4 linked regions of the Yarrowia lipolytica genome follow. The protein of the gene in region 2 interacts with the protein of the main gene of each other region in a pairwise test. Links are inferred from orthologs where the notes say so. Each region holds a gene or a part of one and is shown on either strand. Other genes may lie near its edges. The genes, in order: YALI1_B07094g, YALI1_F06797g, YALI1_C30514g and YALI1_B22820g.

Region 1 (5,885 bases), on a different chromosome or scaffold from region 2:
GAGCTAAGCTACCTCGAGGAGTTTGCAGAGCAAGAGCGCAAGGAAGATGATGAGACAAGCTCTATCGGCATCGTCAACGAGGTATCAGTGTCGGGTCCCCTAAGACCCAAGCGAGTTGTGCCATGGAAGCGAGGCATCAAGCGGCAGGATTCTGGTATTGGTACTGACTTCCAATTTCGATTCACGTATTTCCGTGAAGATCTTGAGGCGACCATTCATTCGCAGAGCATTTCGGGATTGGTCAAGGGTGGCCAATCGTTTGCGGACCTGTTTCCTGAACGTGTTGAGGTGGAGGGCAGTGACAAGCACGAAAAGTTCATTCCCACTGAACGAAACTCAGTACCGACAAGAGCATCTACGCCAACTCCTGGAGACAGAAGTGGAAACGAAGGTAGATCATCTTCCAAAGACGCACCTCGGGATTTGGTACTTTCGAAAGTCCAGAGTCAGCACACAGGTTCAAGTGGAGACAGGGAGAGGGGAAACAGTGTCGGTGACCGAGGAGAAAAGACACCCCGAGATCACAACGGTAGCATTAGTGGTCAGAGCTCCCACACAACTACGGGACCTGCCGCGCATGCCACTCCTGAGCCCTCCGATACTCCCTTCTGGCTGGATGTGCTCAACCCCACTGAGGAAGAGATGAAGGTCTTGTCGAAGGCATTCGGTATCCATCCACTCACAACCGAGGATATTTTCTTGGGTGAAACTCGCGAGAAGGTGGAGCTCTTCAGAAACTACTATCTCATTTGTTTCCGATCGTTTGATGTTTTGCGAACTAAGAAGAAAGGTAGCAGCATCTCATCGAAGGCGTCGAAGAAACGGGCCCACAAGCACAATCGACAGCTCAAACCTCTGAATATGTATATCATCGTGTTCCACTTTGGTGTGCTGACGTTCCATTTTCTGCCTACAGTTCATCCCGTTAATGTGCGTCGACGTGCACGGCTCCTGCGTGATTACCTCACTGTTTCCTCAGACTGGATTTCGTATGCCATTATCGATGACATCACGGATGCCTTCCAGCCCATGATCGATTCGATCCAGGAAGAAGTGGATGATATTGAAAACGATATTCTCAAACTCCATGCAGGTGCGGATTCTTCCGATGATGAGGAGACTGAATTCTACACCTACGAAGATGAGCTTGACAGGCGACAGAGGCGTGGGTTCGGTGGTATCGCCGACGACTTGCGTTCTCTCTCTTCCATGTCATCCACGACCACAACCTCTACCATTCGACTGAAAAATAAGGGTGATAATCTGTACCGAATTGGAGAGACCCGAAAGAAGGTCATGTCCTTGTCTCGGCTTCTTGGAAACAAAGCTGATGTGATCAAGGGCTTCGCGAAGCGGTGCAATGAGCAATGGCAGGTTGCACCCCGAAGTGAAATCGGCCTTTATCTGGGCGATATTCAGGACCATATCGTGACTATGGTTCAGTCTGTCAACCATTTCGAAAAGATTCTTGCTCGAGCGCATTCCAACTGTCTGGCCCAAGTCAATATCGATATGACGAAGATCAACAACGATACAAACGATGTACTGGGTAAGATTACTGTCCTCGGTACTATTGTGCTTCCGATGAACATTGTCACCGGTCTATGGGGTATGAACGTCATTGTTCCTGGACAAGAACATAAAGGCACCGTTTGGTTCTGGGGAATCACGGCATCGCTGTTTTTCTTTGCTATCGCCTCCTACTGGGGGGCCAAGAGAGTTTATGGGGTCTAAACTAACAAAAGCCGAATATAGAAAGGAGAAGACGGGGGTTTGTTTTATAGTCAATGTCAAAATTAATGTAACTGCAGGTTCAATTACTCGTTTATTATTAATATAGTCCGAAGGTATTATTTTACATATAATCTAGTTACGCTCTCGCTTGCTCCACACAATATAGGAGGGATGGACAGGAAGCGTGATCATGGAAGTGGTGTCAACAGCAGGAAGCTTTGAGCCCTCAGGGACGGTCCACTTGAAGTTTTGAATGTAGCAAGACATGAGGGTGGTGAGCTGGCAGTTGGCGAACTGCTCGCCAATGCATCGGTGTCGGCCACCTCCAAAGGGAAGGTAAGGGGAGGAGACACCCTTGGAGATGGCACCAAATCCGTAATCGACAGTCTCGCCGGCCTCAGCGTCGGTCTCGGACTCGGCCATCTTCTCTGTAGGAGTCATCCATCGACGAGGATCGAACTTCTTGGCATTGGGGAAGTATCGCTCGGCCTGCTGTGAGTAACCAGGGGAGGCCATGACAAAGTGGCCCTTGGGCACGACAAACGAGGTACCGGGGACAGGCAGATCTCGCATGACCTGTCGGAAGATAGAATGGATGGGCATATGCAGACGAAGCGTCTCCTTGATGGTATTCTGCAGCTTGGTCATAGTCAGAATGTCCTCGTATGTAGGCTGTCGGAATGATCCGTCAGCCTCACCAAGAATATCAACTTGCTCCTGGTAGAGTTCATCCTGGATAGCAGGGTCGAGACCAAGTCGGAGAAGCATCCAAGCAGAAGTTGAAGCAGAGGTATGCTGACCGCCCATTAGAACGCCGATAAGGAGGTGGGCAATTTCCTGGGGAGTCATTCGCTTACCATCCTTGTAAGTATGGTTTTTGAGCAGAGCGTCGATGAGGTCACGGTCCTGGACGTCCTTCTCCATTCGTCGTCTTTGAATGACAGACATGTATGTATCACGAATCTTTTGCTGGGCGAGGTCACGCTTTCGATAAGAGGGCAGAGGAAGGTTGGGGAAAACGAAATTAATAGGAGTGAAGCCGTTATCAAGATCGGAGTAAAGCTTGGCAAAGTCACCGTTAAGCTTGGATCGGATCTCGTCACCTAGCAGACACCGAGAGGCAGTGAAGATGGTCATCTGAGGCTGAGTGGTCATGACATCTGCCTTACCGGTCTTACCCTCAAAGTTAACTGCAAAAAAGTTGGTGACTTCCTCAACGATCTTGGGAACGTAGGATCGAAAGGCATCACGAGTGAGGGCACCCTTGCAAAACTTCTTCTGCTCCATAAGTCGAGAGTTGGGGCAGTCATAAATAACACCGGTGCCGAAAACAGGGGTGGTGAGGTGAGTGTAAGCCTCCTCCGCAGACACGTCTGCAAGCTTGGAGTTGAAGACAAACTCGTGGCCCTTAGTGCCCAGAGACACGGTCATGACACGACCAAGCATGTAGAAGGAAAACACGTCACCATAACGGTTTCGGCAGTCCTCGAAGAACTCGTAGGGATCGATACCATAGGGGATAGATGATCCAACCCAGGGGATCCAGTAGAAGGCCATAGGGGCCAGAGTCTTGTTTCGTCGAGCCAGAAGTTGTGACCCAATAACGTAGATCTCTGTGATGACAGCAAGGATGGCCAGGCCAGCAAGAATGTGCCAGCCTTCCACGGGAATTCCCATGTTGTTGAGCGTCGTGAGAATGATCATGTTGTGGTGGACTTGAGTGAGAGACCAGTTGTAGATGTTGAGAGCACCAGACAAGATGAAGTAGAAATGGAAGGATAAATTAAACTCTTCTGGAACCTCGTCCACAATCACGAAACCTTATTTTCTTCCAAACCTGCTCGCTAATGTCGTATGTATCGTGTCTAAATGTAACGGTCCAATTACATGGACGATAATGCCAGGGATAGGGGTAATAAGAAATAAAAGTAACGGGCTCGGAAAATATGTACTTGGACCACTGTGAGAATCCTGAGGATGCAGCAGTCCTGATCCAGTGGATTTTGTTATTTTATATAGGCCGATGGCTGGCTCGGGGTATCCTTCATGGATCCCCCTGCTATGATTATGCAAGGTATGACACCACCTTTCAAATGGAGAAATCATCACGTCATGGAATGTGTGTAAGGGGCCAAAGTTAGCTTCTGTACCAAGAGAGATGCAGTGGTACTATATCATGTCCACTCATCGTACCACAATAAGACAGTACAGTAATCACTGCCTGTGCACAGCCTGCAATTTAGCCTAACATGCAAAAACGATGGTGCTTGTCATACGCGGCTATGCTGGAAATTTGATATCGCACGAAGACACCACGTGGTACACGATAGCTACAACTACAAGTAGTCTTGATTTAAGAATGAGCTCGCCAACCCTTACGGGTGTACTTGCACTTGTACTTGTAGAAACAATGGTTGTAGACTTCTGATGTTATTGCGTATGTAAACTTTTTTTTCTGCATATACATTCATTTAATTATAACTTTGCTGTGAAAGAATAACCTTTGAAATGAATGTACGCTTACACGAATATTACTAATAAAACAAACACAAGGTTACTTGGGATGGAAATGCTCGCTTAGTAAATCCACAATGAACTGTATCGAGCTTGCTAACTACTGACGCGTACAAGTATCGCAACAAAGATTACGGAGACACTCCGATTATCCGATCCGAGATTTGCCAGTGCATATGATTACTAATAAAGATGATTTTTAAGGCGTACTGATCTACAAGTACAGTATGTACTTGTAGTAACTTGTTTGATTCGTCGAAGTTAAGATTTAGTACCTCTCTGTACATCTTTTAGTATCTCTATAGTATATCATACTTACCTTCCCTCCTCATTAATAAAGCCACTTATGGGATTAATTCACTTTCTACTTGTGGGTTAGTTACAATTTCAGTCGTCTTCTTCGGCACTCTACAAGTAGTACTATTGCGGCAATTAAATCTCCTAAATGCTGTACCATACTACTTGTAGACTTCAAACATCGATCAGCTGAATTGCTTACATGTACAAGTAGCTACTGTACACGGTACTTGTAACATGTTCGCAGGTGTTGTTTCCAAACACACTACAGTATCATTGACACAAGTTAAGATTCTGTTTTGGTATTAAGTCGGTGTAGTGAGCAACCTTTACTTTTCAGGGTCAACGCTCTCATGACAGATTGCCCTAACCCTTGAGAGCTTGGTTGCCATTCCATAATCTAATCCCAGTGACCTTTATTGAGACCATGGCCTATTATAAAGATGGAAAGTGTCCAGGAAGAGAATATTTGAAGCTTCGGAAGATGATGACAGACCAGGGTATTTGAAATTACCGTATCAGGATGTTGGGTCAAACCTAACCGCTGTTTCCCGATTTAACACTCCCTAATTAGGGTCTCTCTACCCACCACCCCACATCTGATACATATGGCACTTGCATAATCTAATTGTGCCACTTACACTACACTCGCCACTCACCATGAAACTCTCAACAATCGCTATTTCTGCCATTCTGGGCTCTGTGGCCCTCGCAGCTCCTGCTCAGGAGGAGCTTCGGTCTACTGCTATGCTGATTCAGCAGTCCGAGGAGTTTCAGCGTCTCAACTATGACGAAGGCCTTCTTTCCCTGCCCGACCGAGATGAATTGCGACTTGTGGAGACCGCCCCAGGTGTCAGAACCTGGATGACCGAGGCTGAGAAGCTGGTTCTCAAGCGACAGGGTGTCCGGTTCTTTGATGTGACTGGAGAGGACCAGATTCGAGCATCCGAAGAAGTTCCCCCCGTTAACGTTACCTTCCCCGACTCTCCCCAGTACAAGGACAAGGTTGCTCTTCTGCTTGACGAAATCAACACAGATAACATGCGCAGCAACCTTGCCGAGTTCACTGACTTCTTTACCCGATACTACAAGTCGCAGACCGGGCGTGAGTCCGCCAAGTGGCTGTACAAGCAGGTTAACCAGCTGGCTCACGGATACAAGGGTGGCAACAAGAAGCCCACTGTGGAGTACTTTGCGCATCCTTGGGGCCAGCCTAGTATTATTGCACGACTAAAGGGCTCTAAAAACCCTGATACTATTGTTGTCGTGGGTGCGCATCAGGACTCTACCAATCTCATTGCTCCTTCTTTGTTTGCTGCGCCCGGTGCAGATGACGACGG
Region 2 (4,878 bases):
TGTTATGGACCGCCTGTCGCGTGTAGGATGAGTCCTTCCGTTGGCCAGACTATTGATTCATAAAGGTCTGTATTTTGGATGGATATATAAGTAAGTTATACATTGATTGGAGTACGGTACTGTAAGGTACTTGTAGGGACGGCTCACGGTGTAAAACTGGCTATATCCAAGATAAACCGCACTCGTCACCGGTACATGCTGGTGGAAGACGGAACCGATTCCGTTGGGGTCCAAGTAGTCAGCGTCACATCGACAACAACACTTTCAAACACCGTCCCATTTCTCATCGGCCAGTTTCAAGTCCCTATCAATCATCCATGGCATCACTTTCTGCCGGCTTTATTGGTCATAATCTGGTGACTTGGCTACATGGTTAGTTGCGTGTCGTCTCCAGGTCAGTGTGAAACCGAGCATGACACTTCGACAGGGTATCCTATCGCATCCTGATAAGTCAAGACCGATTTGTAGGCTTCCAGGGGACCTTCGAGCTTTCCTCGTCAGAGTTGGTGTATCTTTTCGTGGGTAAGGAATGTCTTTGGGGTAACGCAGACTTCTCATGCGAAGAGAGTGAGCCAGAGCTAAGGATTTGTCGTTTTGCCAGCTTCGCTTTCGAGCATGGGTCTGGCCACAACCACATCCTCAGGCAAAGGACCAGACCAATGCTTTCAGGCACCTACCCAGCCAACGGCATTGATTCTGGACTTTGTCTGAATGCGACAGGCACAAAGCCGTGAGCTGGTCTCTCTCGTTCAAGGACTCTGGGTGAGTGGTGTCGTTGTCGTTGTCGTTGTTACTATTGCTGCTACTTTCACTCTGACTCTCTGATCTGTCCGCTGAAAAACACTCGGATGGCCTTTCCGTTATCCAATGGTATCATTCGACGTCGGTGTTACCTTTTTGGCGTCGTTTGGCGTCGTTTGGCGTCGTTTGGTGTCGTTTGGCGTCGTTTGGTGTCTCGTTTCGGGACTGTTTTGGTCATTAGGTGTGTAACTAGATGAGTTTTTTTTGGAGAAAATAATACTCTTAAGTAATTACACGGAAAATCCAACTGTGCCTGTTTAAGCCAACGACTGTAGCTTGTGCCACTTTTGCATCTCCCACAACTTTCCAAGTACTGGAGCTAGAGCGACGAGAGTAACATGGTTCGAATGGCGGCCTTGTTAGCTTCATAGCGGTACTCATCTGTACCCATCTCTGCCGGCATTGAACGGGTTTCCACCTTTTCTGTGATCCATCACAGCTGGAAGTGGTCTGAACCGTCGCTACTAGGTCAATATTGATGCTAGAGAAATGAGAGTACATCTGGTACACTCGTGGGACTCGTGGGAGTTGAATTGTACATCTTTTTTGCGAATCTGACCTTCATTGCCGAAGATGGGTGGTCGACAAAGTAACGGACGATCAAGTAACAGCTGATTTTATTCATTACGGTGTGGCGTTGAGTGTATAGACCAGACGGTGAGCGTTGAGTGTGTAGATCAAAGAGACCGCGTCCAAGTGATACTGGAGCCATTGCTGGCTGGTTCGCACCAATGATTCAGGCCGAAACGTGACCTCAGTACAGCGCAAGCGGCACTCGATCAACATATCCAGACTCTCAACTAAGATACCAATCTCTCTGCAAGACCATCCAGACAATACTGGTGGTGGACACAATCATGGGAGCAATGGAGGGGCCGCTCAACTTGACGGTCTTGAAGATGAGGAACTCCGACATGAAGTGTCCAAACGCCACGAGATAAGAGGCCAGAGTGAGGTCGTAGACGTGCTTGTCGGTCAGATAGTAGGCGCCATAGAACCGAATGATAGCCGACAGAAAGGTCCAGGTGCCAAACGTCCGTGCCTGGAGTCGCGTCACCTCCTTGTTGGTGTCGTTCGAGTATACTCTGGCGGTCGCATGGGTGCCCGTGTAGGCCTGGGCGGAGTTGAGGGTGGCTGTGATGGACACAATGAGCTGCCACCAGGGCAGGAGACCAGGGATCTGGGGCAGGAGCGACATGTGGGCGTTTTGTGGGTGTTAGAGAGTCGAACAGTACGAGTACGAGAGCAGTACTTGTCAGAGGTGAATGATATGCGCGAGGGAACGTGGGACGATCGTAGAAAGGGCAAAATCGTCACAATCGGACGGATTTTTGGACAGGAAGATGGTCAAGTGACTGGTAGTTAATTTTCCGAGTTTTAGCTGAATTGGGTGATTAGTCGTTGATTAGTGGTCGATTGCAGGTCGAGTTTTTACTTTGTAAGATTACGTAATCCGGAATGTGGAGGTTGGAGCCGTTCCGAGAGTTTATTTTGACATGAAAATATGTAAATATATGACGGGATTGTACAAGGGGATTTTAGTTGGTGTTTGAATGGTTTGATTGGGTGGAGACCAGGAATCGATCTTGCCATTTTTTGGACTATTTTGGATTATTTTTGAGCCCATTATTTGAATAAAACACACTCTTTTTATATATATATTTTTTATTTTTTTTATTTTTTAAAAATATTATATTTTGATTTTTTGATTTTTTGATTTTTTTGAAATTTATTTAAATAGTAACGCTCCTCTCCAGTAACTACTTGACAAACTCTATCATTTACTTGAGTCAATGTCAACTGATTAGGCTCCTAAATGTCTACCAAACAGACCCTATAGCGATCTCATTGATGAACCAACTATACCTGTGGACTCCCCTGACTTCCGGCTCCATTTTTCGGTACTTACTCCAATAATCCACATTCATCTTTGTACCAAATCACCTCTTCGAAACTTAAACTAGCGACAAGTCGCACCCTGTCTTAGTTGTCGCATGTCTCGTATTTGATGCGATATGAGCGAGGAGTAGAGAGTCTGTCATTTCAGGAATAAGAGGACGATTAAGGGAGTATTTTATATCTTTTTACTCGTATTTTTGTTATGAATCTAATGCACTACTCGGATTCTTTCTGGTGTCATTATTCGTCTTTTTATCCACACTTCAAATGTTCATGTGAATTAGCTTAGTTGCCCAGTATATAGCACCACTCCACCACTTCACCACTTCACCACTTCACTCCGCCATGGGAATCCACGAAAGTGTGTCGAAACAGTTTGCGAAAAACGGACATTCCAAGTACCGCAGCGACCGATACGGCTTACCTAAGACGGATCTGCGACGATGGACGTTCCACGCGTCCGATCTGGGGGCGCAATGGTGGAAGTATGACGATACCACACCGCTGGAAGAGCTGGAAAAGAGGGCTACCGACTACGTCAAATACTCGCTGGAGCTGCCGGGATACGCGCCCGTGACTCTGGACTCCAAGCCCGTGAAAAATGCCTACGAAGCGGCTCTCAAAAACTGGCATCTGTTTGCGTCGCTGCAAGACCCCGACTCCGGCGCGTGGCAGAGCGAATACGACGGACCGCAGTTCATGAGCATCGGCTATGTGACGGCGTGCTACTTTGGCGGCAACGAGATCCCCACGCCGGTCAAAACCGAAATGATCAGATACATTGTCAACACAGCCCACCCAGTTGACGGAGGCTGGGGCCTTCACAAAGAAGACAAGAGCACCTGCTTCGGTACCAGCATCAACTACGTGGTCCTGCGACTACTGGGCCTGTCACGGGACCATCCGGTCTGCGTCAAGGCGCGCAAAACGCTGCTCACCAAGTTTGGCGGCGCCATCAACAACCCCCATTGGGGCAAGACCTGGCTGTCGATTCTCAATCTCTACAAATGGGAGGGTGTGAATCCGGCCCCTGGCGAGCTCTGGCTGTTGCCCTACTTTGTTCCTGTTCATCCGGGCCGATGGTGGGTCCATACCCGGTGGATCTACCTTGCCATGGGCTATCTGGAGGCTGCGGAGGCCCAATGCGAACTCACTCCGTTGCTGGAGGAGCTCCGAGACGAAATCTACAAAAAGCCCTACTCGGAGATTGATTTCTCCAAACATTGCAACTCCATCTCCGGAGTCGACCTCTACTATCCCCACACCGGCCTTTTGAAGTTTGGCAACGCGCTTCTCCGACGATACCGCAAGTTCAGACCGCAGTGGATCAAAGAAAAGGTCAAGGAGGAAATTTACAACTTGTGCCTTCGAGAGGTTTCCAACACACGACACTTGTGTCTCGCTCCCGTCAACAATGCCATGACCTCCATTGTCATGTATCTCCATGAGGGGCCCGATTCGGCGAATTACAAAAAGATTGCGGCCCGATGGCCCGAATTTCTGTCTCTGAATCCGTCGGGAATGTTTATGAACGGCACCAACGGTCTCCAGGTCTGGGATACTGCGTTTGCCGTGCAATACGCGTGTGTTTGTGGCTTTGCCGAACTTCCCCAGTACCAGAAGACGATCCGAGCGGCGTTTGATTTTCTCGATCGGTCCCAGATCAACGAGCCGACGGAGGAAAATTCCTATCGAGACGACCGCGTCGGAGGATGGCCCTTTAGTACCAAGACCCAGGGGTATCCGGTCTCCGACTGTACTGCCGAGGCTCTCAAGGCCATCATCATGGTCCAGAATACGCCTGGATACGAGGATCTGAAGAAACAAGTGTCTGACAAGCGGAAACACACTGCCATCGATCTACTTTTGGGAATGCAGAACGTGGGCTCGTTTGAACCGGGCTCTTTCGCCTCCTATGAGCCTATCCGGGCGTCGTCCATGCTGGAGAAGATCAATCCGGCCGAGGTGTTTGGAAACATCATGGTGGAGTATCCGTACGTGGAATGCACTGATTCTGTTGTTCTGGGTCTCTCCTACTTTCGAAAGTACCACGATTACCGCAACGAAGACGTGGACCGAGCCATCTCTGCTGCCATTGGATACATTATTCGAGAGCAGCAGCCTGACGGCGGCTTCTTTGGCTCCTGGGGCGTGTGCTACTGCTACGCTCACATGTTT
Region 3 (5,426 bases), on a different chromosome or scaffold from region 2:
CCGGCGATGTGGTTCTCGACCCAGAAGCTACTCCTCCTGCTCAGCTTACTCCTGATGCCGATACCGAGGGCGATTCTGACATGTACCATAGCGACAACGAGTTGCCTGTGGTCCCAGAAGACCCTATCTACCAGCCTCCTCATTACTACGAGCCCAAAATTGTAGTTGGAGGTGAAGAAGATGGTACCGAGCCTGTCGATGAGCCCGAGCCTGTCGATGAGCCAGAACCTTCCTCAGGGCCCATTTCTGAACCCATTCACGAGTGGCAGCCCGAGGAGCCTCTTCCCAGTGAAGACGGTAATTGGCCTTTTGAGGAAGAGTATCATTACGAGGATCCTGTCCATGAGAAACCCCATTATGAAGAGAATAACGGAGAGCACCGTGAGGACCACAGTGACGCAAGCCAGGAGCTGCTCGGAGTTGATGAGGAACTGCACCATGGAGACGACGAGGGAGATGAAGAGCACGAAGAGCATCAAGAGGATCACCAGGAGCTCCATCAGGAGCACAGCGAGAGCCACCATGGTGGGGAGGAGCATGTTCTTATCAACGATGGGACCCTCAATCTTAATAATGAGGTCAACGAGCACCATCATGAACACAATTTGGAGTATCACGAAGAGTACCACATCCCCGAGCCTCACCAGGAACCTTCTCTTCATGAACCCGAGCCAGAGTATCACCATGACTCTGAGCCCGACTACCATGAGCCCGACTACCATGAGCCCGACTACCATGAGCCCGACTACAACCATGAACCAAAGCACGAAGAGAACTTTGAAACTTCCGACTACCACGAGTTCCCTCCTGCCGGGGATGAGTATTACGATGAGGGCCCAGCACCTTTGACCGAGGGGGTTTACGAGGGTGAAGTTGAGGAAGGATCTGGTGCTGATAACTTTGAGGGTGCTTCTCTTGCTGAAAAGCTCAAGCAACTGTATCCCAATGGCGAGGCTCCCCGTATGGTGAACCAGGATCCCGATGGAAACCCTGCTTACGATTTTGATGGCTATGATACTGACAGTGCGGATGTGTATCCTGGTGGGGAGACGCCCTACGGTTCGTATTTCGGCGATGCGTTTGGGTTTTCGTCCGATGCTCCTCGGTTGAAGCCTCTGATTGCCACTCTTACCCTTGGTCTTGTTGTGGTAGCTCTTTTCAACCGGGACCTGGCCCCCACTATTTGTTTCGTCCTTAGCTCATTGTCTTTTGGGTTGTACATTTACAACTATGAGCTTCGTCTTTAGGGGTGCTATGCTATAGTGAATGTGTATGTAGATATATGGGTGGTGTACTGTAGTGTAGTTACCGTAACGAGTAGTTACCGTGACTATTTATTGTCTTCATCAATGCTGCTTTTGTGAGTGTCATTACTTGTACTAGCATGTAGTGGTTGTACTGGGTTTACTTCTTCTCCTTGGTCTCGTTGATCCACTTGAGAGTGACGTCAACGGCCTGGGGGAGATCGAGCTGGGGTTCGTAGCCAAGGTACTTTCGGGCCTTGGAGATGTCGTAGTATCTTGGTGACGAGCAGATTCGGACCTTGAAAGGCGAGAAGTTGGGCACAACTCCAAAGGGCTTGCAGAGCCCTGCGACGATAGAAGACAGGAAGAGAGCCACGGGGGTGCTCAGTTTGGTCCGCTTGGCCAGGTCGACCTCGTAGCCAGACTTCTTCCAGATCATTCGGGGCATGGCCCAGAAGTAGATGGGGGTTCCGTTGGTGATGAAGAAGGCCTCTCCGGCCACGTTGGCGGCGTGCTTGGAGTCTAGTAGCTTCTCGGCAGCCAGCACGTGGGAGTATGCCACGTTTCCGACGTAGGTGTAGTCGAAGAGGTTGTCGTCGTTACCGAGCTGGAAGTTTTGTTTTCCGGTAGCGGCAGCATCGAGGAAGCCGGGGATCATCTGTCGGTCACCGGGTCCGAAAATACCAGCGGGTCGCAGGGCGACAGTCAGGAAACCGCTCTCGGGGTCGTTTGCGCCCAGAATCATCTTCTCGGCCACCGCCTTGGTGTCGGCGTAGTCGTCCTTGTGGTCGTCCAGCACGGGGAAGGTTTCGTCGGCGTTGATGAGAGGAGAACCGTCGGAGACAGCCGAGGCAGAGGAGGTGTAGATGAAGGCCCGGCCAATCTTGCCCTTGGACTCGTCGAATCGCTGTCGAGTAGCTTCCAGAAGCACCTTGTTTCCCTGCACGTTCACCTTCTCGTAGATGGCCTTTCCGAGTCCGTGGACTGGGGAGGCGCAGGTGACAATGGCATCGGGTTTGGCGGCGTCGATTGCTCGCAGAACGTCGTCGCGGTTCGTCAGATCGCCCTGGTGGAACACAATGTCCTTTTCTGTATCGTAGGAGAAAAACGTCTGGGACACGGGCTGCACGGGTCTGATGTCAAACACGTGGATTTCAGGCCGCGGAGACAGCTCGTGGAACTTTTGGATGAGATGCTGGCCGAGAAATCCCGAACCTCCGACGATCAGTACCGTGTTCATGATGTTAGCGAATGTGGTAAGATGGTGTGTTGGGCGTGTCAGGGATGGTGATTGAGTTTATGCAGTGTACAGTATGTACAGTACTCAGGACCAAGAGCGGAACCTGGGGAATGTAGAGAGCGGGAGTAGACTAGGGCGCGTGTGTTTAGAAGAGTCACGTGACACAAATTATGCATATTTTTTGAAGGATATATTTGAACATCTAGCTGGGAAGGAGGGGTGTGTGAGGGGGGGGGGAGGGGGAGGATTATGGTGGAGGGAGGCAAGGGTTAGTTGAACTTAGTTAAGAAAGAATGTTTAGTTGGGACATTAGTTGACCTTTGGAGAGAGTAGTAGGTGTACTCAAACTTGGTGAATATCGCCCCGATTTTGCGGGTTAAAATTGGAAGCTGTTAAACTAGTCAACGTATTATTATTTCTTCTGTTACTTTTGTTTTAGCAGGTCAGAAACCCCCAGTAGAAGAGACGTTCCAAGATGGGCTTGTCTGAAAAGTCTACGGGAGACCCCTCCATCGTAAGTGGAGCAGCTACTTGTACAAGCAGTCAATTGCCTCAAGTGAAACGAACTTGACTGGAAAGAACTCAACTGAATTACGCGACCAAGAAAATATCTCCTTTTGCGCCGTTTATCGAGGGCTGAAACAGCTTCAGAACTGCATCTGAGGTACACCTTCAGTGTTTCTGCCCTTCATAGAGTATCGTCAACTTGGTGGATATTGCTTCGATTTTAACCAAATCAGCTCGTAGAGAATCTGCGTTTCGGTCACATCAACTGCCATCAACAAACTGGCAGCCTTGTGGCCTCCAAAGCGCACTTTTCACCGTCCATATCCGTCTCGATTTCTGGCTAAAAATAAACTCAGGACAGAGTTCGATAATCAGTCTGCCAACATGCACCAGTGCTGCCATATAACAGTGACCTGTGTTGTCATCACTCTACACCACTCCACATCTCTCTCATTTTCGCGACAATGAAACTTGCACTGCTCTCGCTGATAGGCACGGCTCTGGCGACTCCAGCGGTGATGCTGTCGCACAAGGAGCTGACGGCTTTCGAAAAATACACCAACAAACAGACATCCAACAGCATATCGGCAGTGGAGCTGGATCGAGTGGCGCGGAAACTGATGCACGACTGCTCGGCCAACACCTACGTGGTGGTGAACCAGCCGGGACTCAAGGCCAAGGATTTCCAGACGGAGTCGGCGTTTCCGTTTCTCAAAAAGCTCCTGGAACGAACCTCCACCATGTACACAGTGCCCTATGCTGATGGAGGCATTGAGCTGGGCAAGCTGGCCAACTCTGTGGCCAAGCAGTGCGGCGCGGTCAAAATCGACGTCAATCTCGACAACAACATCACTCCTCTGGAGGAGTACATGGATACCACCAAGCGAGTAATCGAGATCAACTTTGAGCCCCTGCCAAACACATATGTCTCTCGACTGGCTGCTCTGGCCGCCAATGACGAGATGCTGGAGAAGATTGTGCGAGCAACGCCCTCGCCGTTCATTGCGCTCATTTTGACCTCGCAAAAGGGCGAGGAGGGAGACTTTGAAACCAGAAACCCCGACTTCAAAATCTTTCCAGGCGTGGCTCGAGCCAAGACTGTGCCTGGAGCGAAGGACAAGTACAAGTACCACATGGAGCTGCAAAATGTGCCTGTGGACGAGAAAAAGCTCACTGCCGAGGCGCTCTTGAAGGTCAAGACTCCCCCCACACATGCTCCTGAGGTGCGCCAGACGGGAGACGGAGAGCTGGTCGACGACAAGCTGCTGCTGATGATTGTGGGGTCGGTTGTTGCCATCCTCCTTTCGCTACTTGTCTTCAACGGTCTTATGGCGGCCAAACCTGACGTGGTGAAGGTGGACAAGACTGACGCAAAGGTGGAGAAGGCCGTGAAGAAAGAGGTTCAAAAGAAGGAGCGACTAGTGAATGGACGAGTCGAGCAGCTGAAGCGTGAGACTAGATAGCGCGATGGATGGAGCCATGGATGCTGACGGTATATAGATTCAATCGAACGGTGACATGGAAGAAAGGTGGCCAGCAGAGTAAAATAAACACAAATATTGTGGGATATTGTGCAGGCGAAAGCGCTCAAGAAAAACGGAAAGGAATGGCGTAATCACCAATGCCTGTTGGCGTCAATTTCAGAGCCCCATTCAAAATAAACCGCTCCCAAGTACGTTTTCTTAAGAATCATTTCATCCCAACTAAACAACCCAAACTCTACACATTGTTAGTAATCTCAACAGCCATACAAGGTCCCTCCAAGAGGATCAAAATGACCCAGAAATACGCAAAAGTTGCATATTCACAAATATACACTTTGATAAGACCACAATGATCAACGTTTAGGCAAAAACATTTCAGTACAGCCCTCCATCTACCACTCTCTCAGACTCTACCCTTACCCTAACCTAAATAAGCATTACTTGGTAATTACTCAACTCTTAACAAAAACGCACTTTCACCGTAGACATGGCCATCTGAGCCGCCCCCGCCATGTCAGTACTTTGCGCCTGTCGCCACCGTCTCCGCGTCTCTGCATTGTGAAATCAACCTCCGTGAAGTCGTGATACTCGCGATACACGTCTTTTACAACCTTGTTCCTGGGTCGTGTGCCGGCCGGGTAACGGCAGTAAACATGCCGGCATTATAAGATAGTTCCAGGTCGCTACGGTAGGAATATACAATCACTGCGAAAAAGCAGAGGGGCACAAACGGACGACAACAACGGTCACCGATGGATAACACTCCTCCCAAGAAGAAACGCAAGTTTGTGGTGCTCAAACGACGGCCCGTGACCGACACAGAAGTGGAGACGGTCGAGTCGGCCACTCCAGACGTGCTCAATGACGACACCGACATCTACGACCTGTCTGCACATATCACCGAGGTCAGGCCAGCGGCTGTGGAGATGAAGGTTGATGCTGTGAAGCCGG
Region 4 (5,675 bases), on a different chromosome or scaffold from region 2:
TCCATCCATCATTGATATTTCGCATGTTGCGGCTTTATACTCACTGGAAAGAGTCGCAAAGACCAAAAATGTCCTCCTGGGTGAGAACTGGGAATTTTTTCTGGGTTAGTAGGAGGTCAATGGGTATAGGATCCGTCGTGTACTCACCTGTAACTTGATGGCGTTCATGTTGCAAAGATGTTCTTTTTGCGCACAATAACTCGTACCGATGTACCAGGTATTAAACTGTAGTATAAGAACGTCTCTGGTTTCGGAGATACCACAGTGGGCATATGCAACTGCATCAACTCTAGTGAAGTGGCAAAGGCTAATTTGGGGGCTGGTTGGGGGTTACCCGGCCAGGGAATAGAACAATGTAGGTGGTCATATGGGGCGGAGGCAGTGTAGAGGGCTGTGCACCAGTTGCGGTGGCGGATTTATTTTTAGAAATCTGCTGTGGAGTAAGCGTGTCATGTGACCTATTCATACTGGTGACGTGACAACCGAGTCTCTACAAGTACACGACAAATCATTTTCTTAGTGGCCCCTCTCATAATTTTGATTTTGATTTTGATTCGCAACATTCTGGCTTTTAGGGTCAGAAGATTGAGCGGGGCAACTTTTGTTAAAGGTAATACCCCTCAGATTAAGAGCTAGACGATTAAGACAGAGATAGCAGAGAATTGTATCAGTGGGAGGCAGTGAACAAAATCTCAGCTGGTTTGAAACAGCGAAATATTGTTTTTCGAAGGAGATTTTCCTATATATCGCCAAAACCTTATATCCGGATGGAGTTACTTGTATCCGCCATTTAGCCGGAGTGGCAAGGCGGTGGGGCGCTCAAAAGTAGGTAGTATTGAAACCAAAGTCGATCGAGTATGCAGATAGAGTATCGAGATTGCCTTCAGTATGTCTTATTTTCCTAGGCAATTGTCAATGGGCACAATAGAACGTCTGACGCGAATGCGACATGACGTATATAAATGAGGTTATACGAGCAGCCACAAGAAAGATCGCTTATATGTACTATAGTGCAACACTGATGGCAGGGTCATCAGGTGGAGGGTGGGTTTGGCAAAATATATTGATTGAGGTAAGATGGTCACGTGAGTGTGGTTTACAGATGTGTAGGTGCGAATGAGAGATGGGCCTGACTGGTTGTATACTGACAAGATACACATATATGTTCAATTACTGTATGGTGCGCAACGATATGTCAATACACAAGTTTCACTGACACTGGCAAGTCCGCAGATGACGAGACTGGTATGGCTGTCGTACTGTAGTCATAGATGGCCACCTGTTAAGTATGTACAGTGGCCAATTGCTGAGTTAAAGGACTGTAGCCACCTTGTTCTACTTGAAGTAAAGGACAGTATGATACTTGCAGAGTAGTCATGACCTCTAAAAACAATTCACTGTGGAAATACCTAATCACGCGTAGCTTCCACTTGTATGACAGTTGTCATCATTGTCCATTGTCCAATGTGTTAATTTCGGTGTTACCAAGTTTTGTATAGACTGAAATGTAAGCGATGGCTACACTGGGATACTCTCTCAAGCTTCGACACCTTCACTGTCTCGAAGCAAGTCATGCTCAGATTAAGGCAGCTGACAGTCTCCAACCAGCAGTCTATTAAGCTAGCTCCACTGCCTCATCAACTTTTACTCCATTCAATTGGCTTAGTTAATCTGATCCTTCAACTTCTCTCTCCACTCTCCCACACCCTTATCAATGTATGCTCCGACTTCTTCGCTTCCCTCATATTGCAGCTTTGTAGCGTCCATCATCTCCGTACCCCATCTTCCTGTTCTCGAGCCCAAACGATACTCTCGCTTAAGAGCTGAAGGGTCCTCGCTCAAGGTCACCCACACAGGCACGTTGGCTCCCTTATAAGGGTCAATGTTCATGGTGGTCAGTCCAATGAGCCGGGCAAAGTAGAACATGAGATACATGCCGAAGGCAGAGAAGATGTTGAGGTACTCGGAGGCCGAGGAGGAGGTGAAGATACCGGGGTCGGTCAGGTACGAGTAGATACCATGCTCCTCTTCCAGTTTCGGCGAGTAGTAGTTGTGGGCCACGTCAATAAGACGCTTCGAGCCCTTGTATGGCTCCTTGTTGTGAATCAGCTCAATGTCTTCCAGATCCACGTACTTTTCAGAAGACGTGATGGAACTGATCCAGATGACCTTTCCGCCGTTCTTGAGCTGCTCGGTGAGCTCCAGCACCATGTACCATGGTCCAAACACGTTGGATTGGTACGCAGAGCCCATACCGTCGTCGGACTTGACTCCCACAGCCTGGATCATGCAACTGGGATTCTCGATTTCGCTCTTGAATTGCGTGGTGAATCGCCACATGGCCAGAGGCCAGTTGATTCCAATGTAGTTGGCTGCGTTGGAGTTGAAGATGAGAGTGTCGATTCGAGAGAACCGCAGCTTGAGCTCCACCAGAGCGCCGTTGATAGACGTCATGTCTGCCAGATCAAACAGAAGGTAGTCAAAGTCGACCTCGGGACCGACCTCCTTGGCTACGGCATGTGCCTTGAGGGTCTTGATGGCGACACGGACGTTTCGAAGGGTTCGCGAAGTGACCACAATAGTGAGATGGGCGTCTTCTTTTTTCTCGTCGATCAGACGCTTACCAATAGCAATGCCAAGGTTGGATGACGCGCCTGTGATCACAACCGTCTGCGTTTTTCTGTTGTGGATCATGGCTTGTAAGTTACGTCGTGTTGTGCACAGGAAAGTCGGTTGATATCGTCAGTCTTGACAATGCATGCAGGGGATCTATGGGAATACATTGGAGAGTGATTACTGAACAAGAACCGGTCAGAATTTAATGCTGAAAACGTATTTTTCACCAAAATCTCGTTATGATTACAACTACAAGAAAATATATCTGTCAACTAGGGCTCAACACCCCGAATATCGCCCTGTTGACGATCGCTTACATCTGCAGACATCTGGTTAGAGTTACACTATAGTGTACGATGCATACGAACAATGCGACCAGTGCGAGTGATAATAGATGAAGCCGGGAGTTGAAGATTACAGTATGTAAAGAATTGAAGTCATAAGTTGTTGGTATGAATGAGGAGCACCTTGTTAATATATAATCGCCCATATTGGACTAAGGAGTGTGATGAAGCTTCACCAAGAGAGAAGGACGAGAGTATTCTACTTGACTAAGGCAAACTGCAAGCCCTACCGCTGATATATATATGTAGCTATAAAAACAAAAACAAAAACAAAACTTAACACTCTATAGATATCAACAGCCATTGTATCAGTTTCTGGATATCACAAATATATCTCACGAAGGCATGTCTACACATGTTTAACTCAACTTGCTGGTTTCAATCATCTTTTCTTATATGCTTAGGGCTCTGCAGTCCGTGTCTACAAAGGAATACCATCATACTCGCCGTAACCCATGGCCAGGTTAATGTTCTGCAGACACTGGGTGGCGGCTCCCTTGAGCAGGTTGTCAATGTTGCCGACAACAACCACTCGGTCCTCCTTAGAAGAAACGCCAAAGCCTCCGATAGAGACGTGGTGCTTCTCAGAAATGTGTCGCACCTCGGGGGCCTCACCGGTCACCTGAACCAGCTTCTCGCCGGCGTATCGATCCTGGTAAATGTTTCGAATATCTCGAGAGGTCAGAGGCTTAGCCAGGGGGATGGAAACAGTGAGGGAGATGCCTTGGAACCATGAGGCAACGTGGGGGACAAAGGCAACGGGAGTGCCGAGCTGCGAAGACACCTCTCGTTCATGAATGTGGTCAGTCAGAGAGTAGGGGATCAGGTTATCTCGCAGGTTGTCAATGTCGTTTCGAGGAGAAGGCTTGGTGCCGGCTCCAGAGTAGCCAGAAACACCAAAGATGGTGGGCTGGCCACCAAGGTAAGGTAGAAGAGGAGCGATGGCCAGCTGGGAACCAGTAGCGTAGCATCCGGGGTTAGAGATCTTCTTGGCGTTGACAATGGCCTGTCGATCAACCAGCTCAGGCAGACCGTAGGTCCAATCACCGGTAGTGTCAAATCGGTAATCAGCAGACAGGTCGATCATGATAGACTTGTTTCGGACTCCCTCAATGGCGTCGACAAAAGGCTTGCAGACTCCGTTGGGCAGAGCCATGACCCAGACGTCAACTGCACCCTTCTCCTCCAGACGAACGATATCCTCAACCTGCAGGTTGCAGTACTTCATCTGGGCCTTCTTGTAACCCTCGAGGGGCTTACCGTCGAGCTCTCGAGAAGAAATGTGAGACAGCTCGAGATGAGGGTGGTTGTCGATCAGATCAATGAGGGCCTTGCCGGTGTATCCTCGAGCACCAATCAGAGCAACCTTGGCTGGCTTGGTGTTGGTGCCCTTCTCAATAGGGGGGTTGGGGTTGGTGGTGAAGTGTCGGGTCTTAGGGGTCAGAGACGAATGGATAGTGGGTCGGAAGTATCGACCGACACCGGGGGCACCTGTCTTTCGACCGTTACCAAGGCCGGTGCCGGTGTGCATGGATCGCACACCAGTGAAGGCCTCGGCCTTGGCGTTAGCAACAAACGAGGCAATGAGCTTGGACACCTCGTCGGCCTCAAATCCGTACCAGAACAGGACCTGGCCGTTCTTGGCAAATGATCCGTCGGCCTTGTCAAAATGCCACGAGGTGTTTTCGTCCTCCTCGGGGACAGTCCACCACATCTTGTTGTGGTCCTTCTTGATGGCGGTCCACACATTATCGGTGACCGAGTTGAGCCAGCCGTTCTTGGAGGCCAGGAGCTTATCGAGATAAGCTCCGTGGGGGGACTCTCGGACAATGGCAAGCACCTCCAAAGGCTCATCTCCGTAGGCCTTGAAGGGAGATGTCTCAAGCTCTCGCAAGTAAGAAGCAACAGAGACCTTGTTGGAAGCAATATCCTTGTCTCGAGACAGAGCGGCTCGAAGGGCATCAGTCGAGGCAAACTGGTTAAGGTTGTCTCGGGTGACAAGCTTATAACCTCGTCGGATCAGGGTTCCGGCTCCAGAGTCGGTGAAGAGCTCCTTCTGCAGAGACTCGACGGAAATGATAGCGACGGAGGAAGATCGGGGAAGGAAGTCCAGCAGCTCCTTGATTTCCTTGATCTTGAGCTTGGTGCCGTACTTGACCCAGGGCTCCTTGAGAAGGTCCTCGTACTCCTCGTCAAGGTTGATGATGGAGATCTTCTCGCCGGTAGTACCGTTGTGGAGACCGCCCTTCTCGTTGAGGTAGACAATCTTGAGAGGCTCAATCACTCGGGAGAGCTCGCCGGCAGCAACGTCAGCGTTGACGTTGAGAATCTGGCCGTCAGCAGTCTCGGCAAGAGAAGTGAGAATGGGAAGAGCTCCGGCCTTGATAGAAGACTCAATGGGGGTCTTGTCGACTCGGGTGATCTTTCCAACCAGCTGCCACTTATCCTTATCGAGGTATTCGGCCTGGAAGACGCCTCCGGTGATGGGACGGGCCTTCACTCCCATGGACTCCAGAGCCTCCACCAGCTTGAGGTTCTGCTCCAGGAAACATCGTCGGACCACAGACATAGTCTTGGGGTCTGTGATTCGAATGCCATCAATGTAATCAGGCTCCACGCCCTCCTGCTCCAGAATCTCGTTGATCTGGGGGCCGGTTCCGTGCAGCACAATGGGGTAGAGACCCACATGGTAGAGGAAGGCCAGACAAGAAGCCA

What was found.
Region 1: the proteins of YALI1_F06797g (region 2) and YALI1_B07094g interact in a two-hybrid assay, tested with the Saccharomyces cerevisiae proteins (2 studies listed by BioGRID, with this or other methods). The link is inferred for Yarrowia lipolytica from reciprocal best matches to the Saccharomyces cerevisiae genes ERG28 and ERG11.
Region 3: the proteins of YALI1_F06797g (region 2) and YALI1_C30514g interact in binary tests that used the Saccharomyces cerevisiae proteins (3 or more experiments, as listed by UniProt). The link is inferred for Yarrowia lipolytica from reciprocal best matches to the Saccharomyces cerevisiae genes ERG28 and ERG26.
Region 4: the proteins of YALI1_F06797g (region 2) and YALI1_B22820g interact in binary tests that used the Saccharomyces cerevisiae proteins (3 or more experiments, as listed by UniProt). The link is inferred for Yarrowia lipolytica from reciprocal best matches to the Saccharomyces cerevisiae genes ERG28 and ERG27.

The regions. Positions count from the first base shown.
Region 1 is NC_090771.1:706,999-712,883, reverse strand, and holds YALI1_B07094g (uncharacterized protein), read right to left. Parts: upstream 3,439-5,885; coding exon 1,867-3,438; downstream 1-1,866. Other genes in the region: YALI1_B07134g (uncharacterized protein), read left to right, coding at 1-1,734; YALI1_B07076g (uncharacterized protein), read left to right, coding at 5,206-5,885. UniProt on the Saccharomyces cerevisiae protein: Sterol 14alpha-demethylase that plays a critical role in the third module of ergosterol biosynthesis pathway, being ergosterol the major sterol component in fungal membranes that participates in a variety of functions.
Region 2 is NC_090775.1:676,907-681,784, reverse strand, and holds YALI1_F06797g (uncharacterized protein), read right to left. Parts: upstream 2,000-4,878; coding exon 1,598-1,999; downstream 1-1,597. Other genes in the region: YALI1_F06787g (uncharacterized protein), read left to right, coding at 3,046-4,878. UniProt on the Saccharomyces cerevisiae protein: Part of the third module of ergosterol biosynthesis pathway that includes the late steps of the pathway.
Region 3 is NC_090772.1:3,048,971-3,054,396, forward strand, and holds YALI1_C30514g (uncharacterized protein), read right to left. Parts: upstream 2,485-5,426; coding exon 1,405-2,484; downstream 1-1,404. Other genes in the region: YALI1_C30474g (uncharacterized protein), read left to right, coding at 1-1,247; YALI1_C30524g (uncharacterized protein), read left to right, coding at 3,456-4,454; YALI1_C30541g (uncharacterized protein), read left to right, coding at 5,228-5,426. UniProt on the Saccharomyces cerevisiae protein: Sterol-4-alpha-carboxylate 3-dehydrogenase; part of the third module of ergosterol biosynthesis pathway that includes the late steps of the pathway.
Region 4 is NC_090771.1:2,279,378-2,285,052, forward strand, and holds YALI1_B22820g (uncharacterized protein), read right to left. Parts: upstream 2,695-5,675; coding exon 1,663-2,694; downstream 1-1,662. Other genes in the region: YALI1_B22793g (uncharacterized protein), read right to left, coding at 45-100, 148-168; YALI1_B22853g (uncharacterized protein), read right to left, coding at 3,382-5,675. UniProt on the Saccharomyces cerevisiae protein: 3-keto-steroid reductase; part of the third module of ergosterol biosynthesis pathway that includes the late steps of the pathway. ERG27 is a catalytic component of the C-4 demethylation complex that catalyze the reduction of the keto group on the C-3.